3 linked regions of the Schizosaccharomyces pombe genome follow. The protein of the gene in region 1 interacts with the protein of each later gene in a pairwise test. Each region holds a gene or a part of one and is shown in the gene's direction. Other genes may lie near its edges.

Region 1 (5,286 bases):
CTATGTTAAATCTGTCATGGATGTAATGCTATTGCTATTGCTATTGCTATTGCCAGTGTAATAATAAACCGCGGAGCTGAGTCAGCACTAATAGCGTCATACCCTTATCTCTGCACTTATCGTATCGCTCGCCATCTTTTTTATAATTTTACGAGCGGAGAAATTTTTTGATGCAAAAGATATTTAACGAATCAATACATTGTCTTCTAATCCAATAACTACGTATTCTAAGGATGAATACTTTATAATGGGATTCTATGAGAATATTTATTTCGTTTATATAATCTTATGAAGCATTTCAAATAAGCATAACATGTATCTATTCTCTTGTTCGAAAACCGAGCCAAGGGATCAGGGGTCATTTCTAATGAATCAGGGGACTTCTTTTTCTTTCTCAATTCTTATTTTGTTTCCCTTTGTTGATAATGTAAAAGCCTCGTTTAATTGAGTACAATCAGCAAGTGAGGAATCGGTTTATTTCGCTTTCCTTTTCATAGAAAAAGGGACTCGTCCATCAATGTCCTGGCGTCGTTTATTCAAACTTTGTCATTCGGTGCTTTTTAACAGGCAATTTCCGCTTTTGCTGGTCGATCTGTATGCGTCAAAAGTTTTGTCTGGTCCGGCATCACACGATGTTGACAAAAAAATCATCATCCACTGCAAGGTGTAGTGGGTACACAAAGTTGGGTGTGTATTCCCAAATTCCAATGCATTTTTATAATATGCGATAAGCTCCCATAGCTAATCACTTGTCCTTTAACGTTGAAACTACTGTACACAAAGGTAGACCGCAGCACACACACTTGAGCATTCAAAGTAAGAGCGTCTGCTGGATATTCTTATAGCAAGGTCAATTGTGTTGAATGCATAAAGAGCATCTCTTTTCTGAATGGTTCAACGAGCATATTGCACAGTGGATTCCAATAAAAAAAATAAAGGAAACGTAAACGATCGAAAAAAAAATGCTTTTTAAAAAATCCCGTGTCAGCGTTTATACCAAGGAAATATCGCATAGTGATCCTTTTGCTCTACATACTCCACGCATGCACCATCGATACACTACCAAGAACCGCAGCAACTCAGCCTTATTACTGTGTCATCCATCCCATGTGTTTATTCTTGCTGTGCCCACAGCACGCTTGCACAAACGTATGTGGGACGGTCGTTACGTCTGCGATGATGACTGCCTAGGGAGCCCCGCGCGCTTTAGCCGGTTCAGGAAGAGTTTGGGATAATGCAGTACGATGGTATGCACTATACTAGATTTAACTTTGCAACGTTTCGCAATCGGTGAACAGCATCATCAAGTCAAATCAAGCACCGTAAAGGAGAGAGATCAGTACGAAAGATCCCTTTTCTGGAGGGTAGTGAAAAAGACAGTAATATGCGGGTTTCGCATTGTTTTTGAGGGTTCATTAATTGAGAAGTTTTTGCTGCAATTAACGTTAAAAAATATGTCGAATTTGCATTGCCGATCTCCTGCCGTTCATCGTTTAACCAACGTTGCGTAAGCTAACACGCCCTTGTGAGCATCGGCAAATAGCCACATGGAAGCCTCGAGGGTGTCATATCCACCACACCTCAAAATTTGCAACTCTCCAACAACCAACAACATTGTTGAAAAGGTGAAGATTTTTTGTAAATACGACCGTTTGGTCATATATTAAACGAGAAGATGCCGTCTTCGAACGGATCCTCCGACTTTGTATGTTGGTTCCTTTTTCCGATGAATTTTTTATAATTATAAAATTTCACGTTTCGTGATAAAACTATGTTTTCTCATACTAACGTTGTTGAATTAGGTGCGAAAACTCTTCAACATGTTGGAAGAACCCGAATATAGGCATATCCTGCGCTGGAGCGATTCTGGGGATTCTTTTATTGTGTTGGATGTAAGAAATCCTTGAAAATTTGTTTGCTGGATGTAAAAGAGAGAAGAAAGGAAGAATGAGTTATCATTATATTTATCGCCGCCATTGTTGTTATTTAACCAGAGAAAGCATTCTACTTTTATTGTTTATCCTCGAAAAGCTAGTAAAAGAGGGGAGATTTTTTTTGAAGGTTTGCTAAAAAATAATTTTTTTACTATTCTTGATTTGTTTCCTTTTTCTTTCTGATTACAACTTGAATTAAAAAGGATTGACAATGATGGGAAAGGAATCTTTTGAGGCAGCAAGAGATTCCTATCGCAACAATCGGGTTGTTTTATTACAAAAATCGCTTTTCTTTTTGAAATAAAACAATTCTATTCGTTGTTTTCTTTTTAGTATTACCAATGTTACGCTGAAAAACGTCCAGTTTGCCCGTAAACCTGAGTCGTCGAATTTGCTTTGTTTCCATACCCTAGTACTTTGTCCTTTTTTTTCGCATTGCATCTCGATTTTTTCGAACAGACTTATTCCTTGTCATCATCTTTTTTGAGTAATAGTTTTTACATCTCTTAGAGACCAATTTTATTTTTAGGCCTTACCTTCTTTTTAAACTTTGGCTTTTGACTAGCTATTCTTCTAGTCTTATGTTTTTTTTTCTCTTACGTTTGCATTTTTCTCCTTTCTTTGTCACTCTAATCTACTTTTCCGCATTCAAAATTCCTTTTTCCCCTTTCCCCTTTGTTTCCCTGAGTTTATCACTAACTTACTGCTTTTTAGACCAACGAGTTTACAAAGACCATTCTGCCTCGCCACTTCAAACATAGTAACTTTGCAAGTTTTGTCCGACAACTCAACAAGTATGAGATATTTTTATTTATTTATTTTTTTTTTACACTTGCTAATCGTCTAGATATGATTTTCACAAAGTACGGCACGAAGAAGGCGCGCCGAGTATATATGGTGAAGGGGTATGTCATATGGGTTAAGGATTTAGGGGCTTCATACTTGTTGAATAGGTTTGAGAAACAAACTTGTCTTCATTCCATCATACTTGTAAAAAAGCCATCCCTCCTTTTAGAATTTCTATTATACTAATCATTCTCTTCTTTAGGCTTGGGAGTTTCGTCATGACGACTTTCAGCTTCATCATAAGGACCTGCTCGACAATATTAAGCGAAAGGCTCCGTCCAAGCGCAATTTAGCTAACGAGAACACTGCTCCAGTTATTGAAAACCTAAAACAGCAGGTGGATTCTATATTAGACTTTCAAAAATTACTTGATAGAAATCTTTCGGGTCTTGCCACAAGTTACCAAACGATACTTCTTAAAATGTTTGAACTCAAGCGGGGGATTGAGTCTAGAGATTTGCTTATGAGTAGCATCATATCTTACCTCTGCGATTTAGAGGGATCTACTCAACGGCAAGCTAATCCCGGAGCCATGTTTGTTCCCTCTCATCCTCTCCAGGAGTTATTAAATGCATACCAAGCGTTAGCGAAGGGCCAAGTTGCAACTACTTCTCCACAACAGATACCAAATCAAATTCAACAGGCTTCCGCTGCTACTACCGCTTCTTCAAAGATGACTGTTGACACCAATCTTGGCACAGCACAACCTTCTTTGTATAATACTCCTTCATCTGATTATGAACTGGCAAATCAGGAAAAGCCGGCAGACTCCATGGCCTCTGCCGCCTCTCTAAATACCCCTTTATCATCTAATGACCATTCTTTGAATCCACACGCCCATGGCTCATATCCGATGTACGAAAAATTTCAACCGATTCAGCATCCAAATCCAGGAAGCTTTACCACCCATCTTGACTCCAATGCTTCCATGGCAAAGTCATTTTCTCAAATTTCAAACGATTCCCTTGCCAAAGCTAGTTCAGTAGCAACGTCCATGTCTCAAATGGGCGCTGCTGTTCCAACTACTGGCTTGTGGAAGCGGCAACCAAGGATTTTACTTGTCGAAGATGATGAACTTTCTCGTAGAATGACTATCAAATTTTTAACTTCATTTGATTGCCAGGTCGATGTAGCTGTCGATGGAATTGGTGCCGTAAATAAAGCTAATGCTGGTGGATTCGATCTCATCTTAATGGACTTTATACTTCCTAATTTGGATGGACTGTCTGTAACCTGTTTAATTCGTCAATACGATCATAACACACCGATTTTGGCTATAACTTCAAATATATCGATGAATGATGCAGTTACCTACTTTAATCATGGTGTAACAGATCTATTAGTTAAGCCATTTACAAAGTTGACTCTACTTCAACTTTTAAAAAAGCAACTTTTGAATCTTTTACAAGCGGATAACTCAATTAATATGTCTGATGTTCCCTCCACGAAAGAAGCTAAAGACGATAAGGCTCCTGTGACATTTTACTTAGAGAATGATGCTCCTATGTATCCTCAACAGATGTTACAGGATCCCATTCAAGCAGACTTACAGCATCCACATTGATGGAAAAGTCTTAATGTTATATATTTCTTATTTTTACTATCAGGTCTCTTTTACTTTTGTTTTATATAAAAAACTATCTATCACTTCTGTTTGATTTAGTTAAAGGTTTAATCTTTGGTCTATGTATCTATGTTCTCTTTGGGGTTCAAGTTAAGGCTTTCTTTTCGAAGAAAGGCTTTTCATATCCCATGACTAGTTGTTTAAATTCCACAAATTCCAAACAGTGTCGGAATTGTCTTTCATATCAACTACAACTAGAAACATGTACAGAAGAGACATAATCAATATAACTTTTCAGTTTTTGCATTGTATTTTAGCCACTATTTTCTTCGGTTTGCTCAAATTATATTATCTTCATTCGCTTGTTGTATTTCTTACATTTCAGCTAAAAATATTGAATTCGTCCAACTGATATTATCGTAAATAACTATGCGTGTAATTAACAGAATAGTGCTGGATTTTAACAACGCGCCCTGTAGACCAAAATTTTATTTTTCTTCTCTATCGTATTATTATTTGCTAGAAAATAATAGCCAGCTAAATTATGAGTGACCCTTTTTTTTTGAGTAGACAGAAACCACTTTCATAACACTGTTTTAAGTCAGAGTTCAGGATTTGTAAGGGAACTATTATTCTGACCCTTCTTCACTCTCGCTTTCACTTTCAGCAGTATTCAACCAGTCGACAAATTGTTTGCCACCGGCATCACGAAGCGCAGCCAATTCTCCTTCGCTAGAGCGGGGATCAGAATACCATTCTTGAATGGCATTCTCTTCAGCAATTTCTAATTGGTAGAAATATCCCAAAAGTTGTAAAAAGTGCCGAGTCATACTCAAACGGACACAGTACTTCTGCAGCGTTAATACGTTGTCAACTTGCTCTTCATGGCTAAATGTCAGTTTTGCAAGCAATGGACCCCAACGTGTCATTACTTTTGCTAGT
Region 2 (5,719 bases), 1.4 Mb from region 1:
ATATCCTCATTCTTAAGTTGCTGTTGCAGAGATAGTGAGGCTGCCTGATCATTTTGAAAGATAATTTGCTCTATCATAGCCTAAAAAAAGAATCATTAGCGAAAGGGAATTTCAATTACATTATGAAGCTTAAATTTGAAGAAAGACTTACCTTCCATTTGCTTATGGTTGCGCTGTACTGTAAAGTCTCTTTGCCAGAATGCACAGAGTTTTTTTCAAACGGCTCGGTTGTTCCATTAGGAAATTCATAAAATAGATTTTTATTTGTTGACTCTCCTGGATCCAAAATTTCATTACCCTTGCTTGCAAATGACATTGAGAACGGCGAAATAAAAGAATAACCGAGATCTATCGGGTCGATTGTTTCATTTTTACTCCATAAAGGAAACTGATCGGTATCATTTAATTTTTTAGGAACCACATTGTCTTTTGCGTCATCCAAGGATTTTGGATGAGTCGAAAAACAATTGTTGGTGCCATTGCTGTTTGTAAAAATTCCAGAAGACAAAGAGCAATTATTTTTGCTAACGGGAAATGTGTCCTTGTTTTTTAGATTACAATTTGTAAGATAGGGAGAAGGCTTTACGCAGGAAGAAGTGGTTGACGAAGTCAGATTTACTTCATTAGATAGCTCTACAGACAAAGTCTCAGGAAGTAACTTAAGCGCTGGCGTTCGTCGAAGAGTTAGGAAACTTTTTGGATTCATCTCATAAATCCTTTCTAATTCTCTTATTTGATCCTTCTTCTTCTGGACCTCTAGAGTAGATGACTCAATCTTTTTTTGCTGCTCCGAAACGAGAGTTTGGAGATAAAGAATTTGAGTAATCAATTTTTTAACATAGTTTACATCATTTGGTGTTTTTGGGAGTTCTAAAGACATTCCAAAGTCAATGGGTCTTTCCTCGTCTCTCTGCATACTTTGGGTATGCTCTTTTAAAAGGCAGAAAAATCAAACAGTAAAACCTAAATGCAAAACTAAATTAATTAAAAAGACTTACTGAGATCAAAAGAGAATTATCCAACTTCCCTTGCCTGGACAAAAAATATGCTTTGGGCGAATTCTGATTAAGGGATTGGAACTTTTGTTTACACTTTTTAAGTAAACAAACCACCAACATTCTTCACGTTCCCTTGCATACAACGAGCCAATACTTCCTTTGATAGTTTTCATAATATATTGATAAATTGATTTAGAATAATATGTATATACTTAACTTTTCCTTTTGTATGCAGCCTTCTTAGATATAAAAACTCAAGTTAGACTTTACTTCAAGAATGATTCATACAATTGAAAGTAATTTACTAAAAAAACATTTAATTTGTGTTTTATATTATCGGTTCCATTACTTTTAGATCTTTAATATCACGTCCCGACAAGAATTACTATCAGATTCACCTTAATAGAGTACGAGTTTCTTTGAATCGTAAACTTTCTAAAATTATGTTGAGGTATATTTACAGATAATCCATAAACCATGCATGCCGAAACTGTTATAAAAAAAAAAGCTAATAAGTTATAAGTTAATATTCTCGTCCATAACTTTAAATAGTACTATAAAAAGGTTAATACATTAATGGGTAAATTTAAATACGCTATTTGCATTAGCACGCTTCACCATATTTTGTAATCTGAGAATGATATACACACAATACATAACCTATTAGATGTATCACATACGAATAACTTCCTTACGAGCAACGCTGCCTTGTCCCATAGACTTCTCTTTAAAAGAAAGAGTTTCCTTTTATTGAAAAAGGATACTGATGCATTGAAAATATCCCAGTACTAATATATCGGGTGTTTTCTATTATCCTTAGTTTTTTGAGACTCTCACGATTACAATTTTGTTTTGTAGTCTGCGTGTGTGTGTTTAAAAAGTAAATATTTTATCATTGTGTACAATATTTTGTTTTAAAAGATATTTTTGAGAAAAGAAAACTTTGGTTTTGACAGTATCGGTTAGATAATTTATCATACTTGACTATAGCTAGATTTGTTTAGCTTTACATTATCCTAAACTCAGAAAAGAGAAGAAAATGGATTTAGTGGAATTGGATTACTTAAGTGCATTAGAAGATTTAACGTTTAACAGTAAACCTATCATCCATACTCTTACTTATATCGCGCAGGAGAATGAGCCTTATGCTATTAGCATCGTGAACGCCATTGAAAAACATATCCAAAAAGTATGATTTAACCTTGATTGAAACATATGTGCTAACTCTTATTTACAGTGCCCACCTAACTGTAAACTTCCAGCGCTTTACCTTTTAGATTCTATTTCTAAGAATTTAGGAGCTCCTTATACTTATTTTTTTGGCCTTCATCTTTTTTCGACATTTATGAGTGCATACACCGTAGTAGAACCCCGTCTGCGCTTAAAACTGGATCAATTATTAGCTACTTGGAAACAACGTCCACCGAATTCAAGTTCTTTGGAGCCCGTATTTTCCCCCATAGTTACAGCAAAAATTGAAAACGCATTACTAAAATACAAATCAACAATTTTGAGACATCAGAGCCCTTTACTTGCTAATACTTCAATTTCATCATTTTCTGCTCCTATTGACGCTAATATTAACTCCTACTCCTCATTTTCCGATCCGGCATCTTCGTACAAACCGTCTTTACCTTCTGTTCCATTTGGCTTTCAGCATATTTCGGGCACCAGTCCTTCTCCTGGATTTATTACACTGGACTCTCTTTTATCTGATGTTAACCGAATGATTGTTACAGAACAAGCTAGATTTATTAAAAATCCTTATGACAACATGGCTAAAAAGCGGTTTGAAATACTATTACAACTCAAAAATGTGCTGTCTTCTTCCGCACTACCTTATGACCAATTGCTGGCTATAAAAAACCAGCTGGCACAATTAGAGAAGCCGGCTTCTCCTTCAACGAGTTCTGTTGCTACGTCTGCTCCCTCCGTGCCTTCTGCATTATCATCTATTTCTTCGACTCCTTTTATGAAACCTTCTATTCCATCTACCATTCCTACAATTCCTTCTGCGTATTCGGCTTCTGTATCTTCGCAACCTCCACTCACTCATTCATATGTCCATCCAGGTCCTCAAAGTCACAAGTATTCGTTATCTTCAGGGCCGCCGGCATCCTTATACAACGCGAACGCGTTAACGCCTGAAGAATCGTCTAGTATAGATTCTCTTTTTGCTAATCTGCAAGCTGCAGGGTTGGTTCCGCCATCTGCTGGTGGTAAGTCTCAAGGTCCACAAGCTTCTTGTACTGAAGCTGTGTCTCTAACAGCAGACATTGACCTTTCTAAATCTTCGCTCGCTACTCCTCGGCCCAAGCTATCTTCTTTGTTATATGAGAATTATTCTAACCAATGCGCAAACTGTGGTAGGCGTTATGGAAATGATCCTGAAAGTAGAAAGGAGTTGGACAAACATTCAGATTGGCATTTTCGGATCAATAAGAGAATTCGTGAAAGTAGCCTTCATGGGATTAATCGCTGTTGGTTTGTGATGGAGGAAGAATGGGTCAATAGCAAAGAAGAGGAAGATTTAATTACAGAGACTGCTCAGGAAATCGAAGAACAGCGTCAAAAGCAAATGGAATCCGTTAGGTCACAATATGTATTGACACCCTTAGATCCAATTGCTGCGTCCGAGCCTTGTCCAATATGTCAAGAAAAATTCCAAAGTGTTTGGCATGAGGAAGCTGAAGTTTGGGTCTTTATGAATGCAGTCGAAGAGGAAGGCCGTATATTTCATGCGACTTGTTTGCAAGAAGTACGCCCGTCAGAAAACAAACATTCAAACACAAATACTAGTACACAAAATTTAGCGGAAGCAGCTGTTTCGTCTAATATTAAAAATGCTACGGGTGACGCTTCGAAGGACTCTCAACCTGATGTTCAAAATTTGTTACAAGGCATTGATATTCAAAGTATCCTTCAAGCACTTGGTAAACGCAAAGAGAGAGACGATTCAATGGATTCAATGTCTTCTAAAGTTATTAAACAAGAAAGCAAGTGAGTTTTGTTTTAACCTCATTTTTCTCGAGCTTTCGGATTTTAGCAATAAATTTGAATCATGTACATACAAAAAATATTTCTATATAATCAGCTAAAATATGAGTTTTACATACTGCTTATAGTAGTATAGCAAACTAAACAGTTTACCGAAAACTTTTGGGTTCAGAATATTCTATATTTATATCCTACGAACACTAGGCAAAAATATCTAAGTAATTGAAAAAGAAAGGGGCCCTTCAGCTCTAACCTAAAAAAAATACTTACTCAGCCTTCTCAAGAATAGCAACGATCTGCTCCCAAACTTGCTCAGGTTTTTGAGCAGCATCAACAGCAGCCCATTTACCCTTCTTTTTGTAAAACTCAACGACAGGAGTAGTTTGTTCGTGATAAGTGACCAAACGCTTGCGCAAAGCATCGGCGTTATCATCGGAACGTTGGATAAGAGGCTCGCCAGTAACATCGTCTTTCATAGGAACTTTAGGAGGATTAAATTCCAAGTGGTAGCTACGGCCAGATCCGGGATGGACGAGACGACCAGTGATACGTCTGACCAAAAGTTCATCATCAACTTGTAACTCAAGGACAGTATTCAAGTCAAGTTTGAGTTCATCAAGAAGAGCGGTAAGCTTTTCAGCTTGGACGACAGTACGGGGGAAACCGTCCAGGATGAAGCCGTTCTTGCACTCAGGATTGTTGAGGATCTCATCCTTGATCATACCAGTGACAATGTCATCGCTGACAAGACCACCCTGATCCATGATCTTCTTAGCTTCTTTACCGAGCTCAGTTTGACGAGCTACTTGAGAGCGCAACATGTCACCAGTAGCAAGATGGGCGATGCCATATTTCTTCTGAATGTTGGGGGCCTGAGTGCCTTTTCCAGCACCTGGAGGTCCAACTAAAATAAGTCTCATGCCAGCCATATTTGATCAAATTGGGTATCTATGCAAAAAAAAAACGAGATTCCACAACAAAGCGGTATTTGGTAGTAGTCTAAAATCGGACTGAGAAGTAAAAGAAGACCACCTAATTTTTATAATAGCGAACTTTAACAAGTCGTTATATTATTGTTGGTGCTAAACCAAACTCAATAAACAGAGCAGAAGCCTGGGGTAAATAGAACAATAAATTTATATTATTTTTATCTATAACCAAATGCTAATAAAGGTTTTCTACGTAGCTCCAAAAGCACGAAGCAATGCAATTAATGATTTTAAGCATAAATGTAAATTCGTATCACTCTCACAATTAGTCTTAGGCAAAAGTAGTGACAGAGTATAGTAACTAAACTAAAAATAAAACTCTGATCCAAACCACGAACGAGAAGCCGGATTCGGTTTCTTTTTCTGTGTAAAGTTCAAAGTAGGAGTATCGTCATCTTCGTGCCAATCTATTTCAATCGAAGACTGTGATTTGGAAGGTAATTCTAGTAAATCCTTAGCGGTTTTCCATGAATATCTAACTATGTCTCCCTTCCATCCGAAAATTTTATCGACATTTACTTTTAACCACTCGGTAGTTCGAGCGTCAGAAGAATATCCAGAACCCCAGTTCTCAGTTCGAATACTTTCACGAGCGCATTCCAGTTGAATATCTCTAGTAACTTTAGCACAGATAGAAGCTAAACTCACGATGGGAAAAAGGGAATCTGCTTTTTTAGTGACAGTGACTTTCGCTTGAGGAAAATGAGCTTGTAATTTTTCCTGGTATGATATTGG
Region 3 (5,220 bases), on another chromosome or scaffold:
GTGTTTGACGATTTGGAAACTACCGAAGGGCTCCTTTCTAGTTACTGTAGTAATGAATGGAATAGAGAAGTCTATCATCCACTATATGCTCTTGGTATAACGGCATCCCTTCTTCATTCGAATCAGCAGGTTTCTAACATTCAAGTTATTGTACAACAAAACTTCCTCGGTATGATAGTAATGGGGCTTTCTCTTTTTAAAGAAGAAGCACGCTTTGCTTGTCTTAATTTCCTACGAAATTTTATACCCATTCTGGACGAACAAAAATTTAGAGAAAAGCATTTAATTAAACTAGTACTTGCTAGTATAATTGTGAATGTACCTTCTTCAGAAAATCGGTTGAGCACGTTAATGGCTAACTTTTATGCTTTCAGCTTGACCGTCATGATGAAACCGACACATCCATTATTTGTAGGAATTAATCGTTATTACCTGCAACGTCAACATGTTGATGTTACAGATATACCGATGTACTATGAATTACTTTATCCATCAACAGATTACACCAAAAGTGTTTACTGGCTACTGACTCTATTACATGCTGGTTTACAAACAAATCAGGATTTAAAAATATATCTTCGACGACACGTATTTGAAATGATATGTACTTTATACAACTCATGTGTAGTCAACAGTGAAATCCGAACACTAATCGAAAAAATATTGCTCAAGGTTGTGGCATTGGGAGGAGGCCCAATGTTGGTTAAATACAATGCAATATACCCTATGCTACAAATGGTCATACCAAGTTTTCAAGAAACAAAGGAAAATACCGTAGTATCGACCACGTAAAAAGGGAAAAGAGAATAAAAGAAAAAATTTTTGGCTGCTAAAATTTAGCTAACTAAAATTATGGGATTTGCGGGGTTGAAAGGTTAGAGAAGGAAATAATAATTCATTAATAGCGGCACGATGATAACTTGTAATTTCGTATCTCGACTAAAATTCTAATAAATGTAAAAATATCTGCGATTGAGTTGACATTCGTAGAACGCGCACATCGTATGAAAAATTTGTTGTTCAAGAAAAAAAGATGAAGTCAAGGGAAGGAAGAGAAGTTTCATGCACATAAAAATTTAGAGACCATATCTAATGGCCATTTCATTTTGATAAGTCATTTCCAAAGGAATAGGGGCAGCATATATGTCGGTTTCGTCTAGGACAGCCTCACGATTGGCAAGAATATCTAAATGAAAGTTTGCAGATCCTCCTAAAGCCAAAGGACGAGAGCTCTATGCTTGAGTCAGTAAAACTAAAGAAAAAAAAAGAGGGGGAAGATATAAGTGCAACAATAAGTAAATATAGCACTATATTAGTCTATACATTAATAACCTACCTGTGAAGCGAGTTTCTGTTCCATTTCACGACGCACAGGCTCATGCAAACCGTAAATTCTACGCATGCTATCAAGGCGAATTTGTTGCTGTTGAGCCTCCCAATTCTTTAATCGACTTTCTAGAGGATGTTTATTTTCAACACGGTGTACAGCTGGAATGCTGGGCTCTAAAACTGAGACTTTGAAGTTTCCAGATACTTCAGCAGCTGGTTCGACGTCAGGAACAATCTTCATTATAAATCTGTGAGATCCTTCAATTCTCTACTTTGTCGAGTATATGTGGTTTAGGATGAGTTTCTACAATAGTGAATCCTCTCTCGTAAGCCTATCGTTACCTTGCATCTATGTTACCTGTTACGACTAAGATTGAAGTGTTTTACCCTTACTATGGAGGACATACTAAGCTTGCATGCGATTACTAGCAAGATGGAGCCAACTTAACCACTACCACCATATTAAAATAACACAAAAAACCATCACAATTGGTATTAACTCGTTCCAAAAAAGGCGATAAGATGTCGCAGGTTATTCAATATTCAGAAGCAGATTTGCTATATCTATCAAAATCGCCGCTCATAAAAAAACCAGAAAATCTGCCTGAATGGATTCTGTAAGTTAGGGATGCTAAATAATCTTGGTTGATGAAAACACCTTCGAGAACCAAAGTATGGAATATTGGCTAACGTTTTACAGTCCGGAGGCTATGAAGGCAGATCGTGAACGGCACATTCGCCAAGAAAAGGAAATGAAAAGGTAGGGCAGAAATATGAATACTGTGAATTTCGCGACACAAATTGATTTTAGTTCTTTATTTGCACTTCATAAGTTCTTTAGAGATTTTATACTAACAAATTTTTGTATAGACATGATGATGATGGACGACAATATCAGTCAGATCGTAAATTCGCTAAATCAAGTAAGTCATTTTGTTTACTATTTTCTGTCGACTGTTAACATAAAAAATTGTCTGTATTGACTATGAATCCTTACAATGCACGTTCAAAAAGATGCGGCAAAAATGTCATATGGTTGTTTACTACAGGATTGATTATAATGTGAATCCATTCTACCTTTTTCTGCATCAGATATGAGGTCGATGTGGAATTCGTGTTTTTGACGTTGCTTCCTTGACATTGTCGATAGATTCCGTCTCTTTGTTGAAATCCTTACTAACGTTTCTAGAACACGACGATATTATTCTTGGGCCACCGAAACTTAGTTTTGCTAGCAGTAATGAGAATGGCAGGTCTGTCGGTCGCCATGATGATTTGCTTTCTTTGGGAAATGTGTATAACGGTGTAGCCTCTCTCCGTTATCGAAATGGCGCTTCTGTATCGCGGTCGTCATCCATTGGTCATTCCGGTTCTACTGCACCATGGAGTAGTGTAGGACGACATAATCGCAAGAAAGACAATGAACATCGTGATGAGATGGAGGGGCTTGAGAAGGTGATGAAACAAAGGGCTGGTAATACTGGCCCACTTGTTGCAAATTCTACTGAGGAATTTGAAGCATGGAAGCGTATGATGAAGGCATCCTCTGGAGAAGCTGGAGCAGGTAATGTTATAACACCCGGCGTCACTTCCACCACTGGAGCCCCTTCAGGAAAAGCTTCGCTTTCTAGAGCTGCCTCTAATTCTTCAACCTCTGCTAGAGCTGGCATTAGTGTTGATTCTCTGTTTGGAAAACGCTCCGCTGCCCAAGCGATGGCTACTGTCGTACCCTCTGTCAGTACACCTGGTGGTACCCCTCCTCGCTTTGCTTCTCCGGCCCTTACAGTTGAATCCATGGTACATGCCGCACCCAGCACAACCACTTCTTCGAGGTTTAGCAAGTTTTTTAACGGACTGGCTGGCCCTGAAACTTCTAAGACTTCTACACCAAATATGTCAAATAACCCATCTCCTCGAGTTGCAAATACCGTTGTTTCTCCTGCTCCTATTCCTACTATAGGTTCTGCTACAATTGACAAAGACGCCGAAGGATTTCAACGCGTCTTAGCTATGCTTGGCAGACAAGCATCAAGCACGACAGGCTCTCCTAAGGTTGCTTTGTCACAAATGCCTCAAGTTAATGTCAACCCTTCCAATCAAGACCTTGCCTCGGTAAAGCAACCTTCTGGGTTTTCACCTCCGTCTGCAGTTGCTCCTCCTCCTGGTTTAGGTAATCACAACTTTTCTAATGATGATTCTTCCTTCTTTCGATCTCTTATGACTTCTGATACTCGATCAGTCCCTCCGCCTCCCGGCTTTTCTACGAATGCTCCTAAAGCAGTTAAATCTCCGGAAATTTCAGCCCCTCCAGGTTTGTACCGTGGTCTGTCCTCTGGAGCTTCTATTCCATCGGCACCCCCAGGTTTCGGATATCAACAACCATCTTTCCCATATTCCCCTGGATTTCCTCCATCTGCTTATAATCAAAATCGAACTGGTTATGGATTTCCAGATACTTCTAGACCACCACATTAAAAAACAGTGTCCTTAGCACGACGGTGTGATGAAGTTTCTCATTTGACTATAGTAGTGGGTGTGTATGCATGTATGCTCTGCGCAGTTGTTATTCCGTCTGCAATGTCGGTAAACTCCTTAACATAGACTTTGCTTTATGATTTCTGATATAAACCGGAGACCTTTGAACGATTTTTCCTTGTTTTAGGAATTTTTAATATGTGAATTAATTAGTACATATGGCTTTTTTTAGAATCTCCTTGTGGTTTTCAGAATATACTGCAACATCGTCATTTGATGAATGGATACTGCGTAAAATGGGACAGAAGGATTTTTAATTAACCGTTTATGAAGATAATTTTTAGGAGTCGTTAGGTCAGTTTATAAAATAGGATTAATCGGATGTTTTAGTTCATGAGTCTAAAGTATGTGATTAAGATGAGTATTTTGGTTATACGCAGTTTTGGGAACTTGTGTCATACCAAGGTATAGACAAAACAGTTCATGATAGATAGAACTAAAAAAATTCCACTTCTCAAAAGTATTATAAATGTTAAAGCATGGATCTGATCAATTGTTTGGCTAGCTGCTGGAATTTTGGTTGCTGCTAATCTACAGTCATTGGTTTCCCGGCAATGTTTTACTAAAATTTTTGTGAACATGTGTTTTTATGGATGTGTGCTCTTTAAAAAATTACATCTTTTCGAGAATCAATGTGTTGAAAACTTAGTTCTTTACGAGAATTCTACTCTAGCCAAACTGTTATCTTTTGGATATACGAACTAGAGAAAGCATCTCTAAATTTTTAGACAAAGTGATACTGCTAGCCGAAAAATAATGAAAGGTTGTTTTTCACGTTTATGTTTGTAATTAATGCGTACTAATCAAATCACATTTTCCTAATGTTTAGATGTGAGATTGGGGTTTTTGTAGGAATATATATTATTTTCTTAATTCATATTTATTTTTTTAATAATTGGCTTCACTTTGACTAAGCGTCATAAAAGAGATGGTATTTTCAACCGATAGAATAAAAGAGTTGTTTAAATGGGAATATACATCGCTAGATCTTTTCCAGTATATTTTTTACAAAGTGCAAAACTATCTTCAAAGTAATATGAAAACATATAAGTGATAAGGCGTATTGCAAGGATTACAATTATTTTTGGACATTTACACCTATGAATTTGGGTAAATCTATGTATGAATCAAACAAACTATAGACAGCAGAGATAAAGGCTCTATAAATGCACCCACGTTTACTCCTATTAATCTTATAAAATTTTAGCACAGAATTAATTGTGTAAAGTGATAATTAAGGCAGGATTGAAAGTTGCGTTTCGACAAAAAAAAATATATATTTATATATAAGTGTGTATAACTCGTAAACCAAGAATGTTAGATGCGATCACCTTTATCCATTATATATAAATTTGA

What was found.
Region 2: the proteins of prr1 (region 1) and pcf11 interact in a two-hybrid assay, tested with the Schizosaccharomyces pombe proteins (one large-scale study listed by BioGRID).
Region 3: the proteins of prr1 (region 1) and eap1 interact in a two-hybrid assay, tested with the Schizosaccharomyces pombe proteins (one large-scale study listed by BioGRID).

Annotation. Positions count from the first base shown.
Region 1 is NC_003424.3:3,664,332-3,669,617, forward strand, and holds prr1 (stress-responsive DNA-binding transcription factor Prr1), read left to right. Parts: upstream 1-1,600; 5' UTR 1,601-1,675; coding exon 1,676-1,705; intron 1,706-1,802; coding exon 1,803-1,892; intron 1,893-2,648; coding exon 2,649-2,728; intron 2,729-2,781; coding exon 2,782-2,839; intron 2,840-2,982; coding exon 2,983-4,344; 3' UTR 4,345-4,756; downstream 4,757-5,286. Other genes in the region: translation initiation factor eIF2B epsilon subunit tif225, read right to left, coding at 4,974-5,286. UniProt on the Schizosaccharomyces pombe protein: Involved in oxidative stress. Transcription factor that acts upon trr1 and ctt1.
Region 2 is NC_003424.3:2,255,140-2,260,858, reverse strand, and holds pcf11 (cleavage and polyadenylation specificity factor), read left to right. Parts: upstream 1-1,672; 5' UTR 1,673-2,037; coding exon 2,038-2,187; intron 2,188-2,235; coding exon 2,236-4,002; 3' UTR 4,003-4,261; coding exon of another isoform or gene 4,262-4,924; 3' UTR 4,925-5,182; downstream 5,183-5,719. Other genes in the region: mpf1 (meiotic PUF family protein 1), read right to left, coding at 1-80, 152-916; adenylate kinase Adk1, read right to left, coding at 4,262-4,924; ribonuclease H2 complex subunit Rnh201, read right to left, coding at 5,291-5,719.
Region 3 is NC_003421.2:746,961-752,180, forward strand, and holds eap1 (eIF4E-associated protein Eap1), read left to right. Parts: upstream 1-1,770; 5' UTR 1,771-1,851; coding exon 1,852-1,946; intron 1,947-1,994; exon of another isoform or gene 1,995-2,029; coding exon 2,030-2,089; exon of another isoform or gene 2,090-2,199; coding exon 2,200-2,252; intron 2,253-2,331; exon of another isoform or gene 2,332-2,518; coding exon 2,519-3,804; 3' UTR 3,805-4,683; downstream 4,684-5,220. Other genes in the region: ribosome biogenesis protein Urb1, read left to right, coding at 1-792; proteasome maturation factor Ump1, read right to left, coding at 1,077-1,232, 1,337-1,570.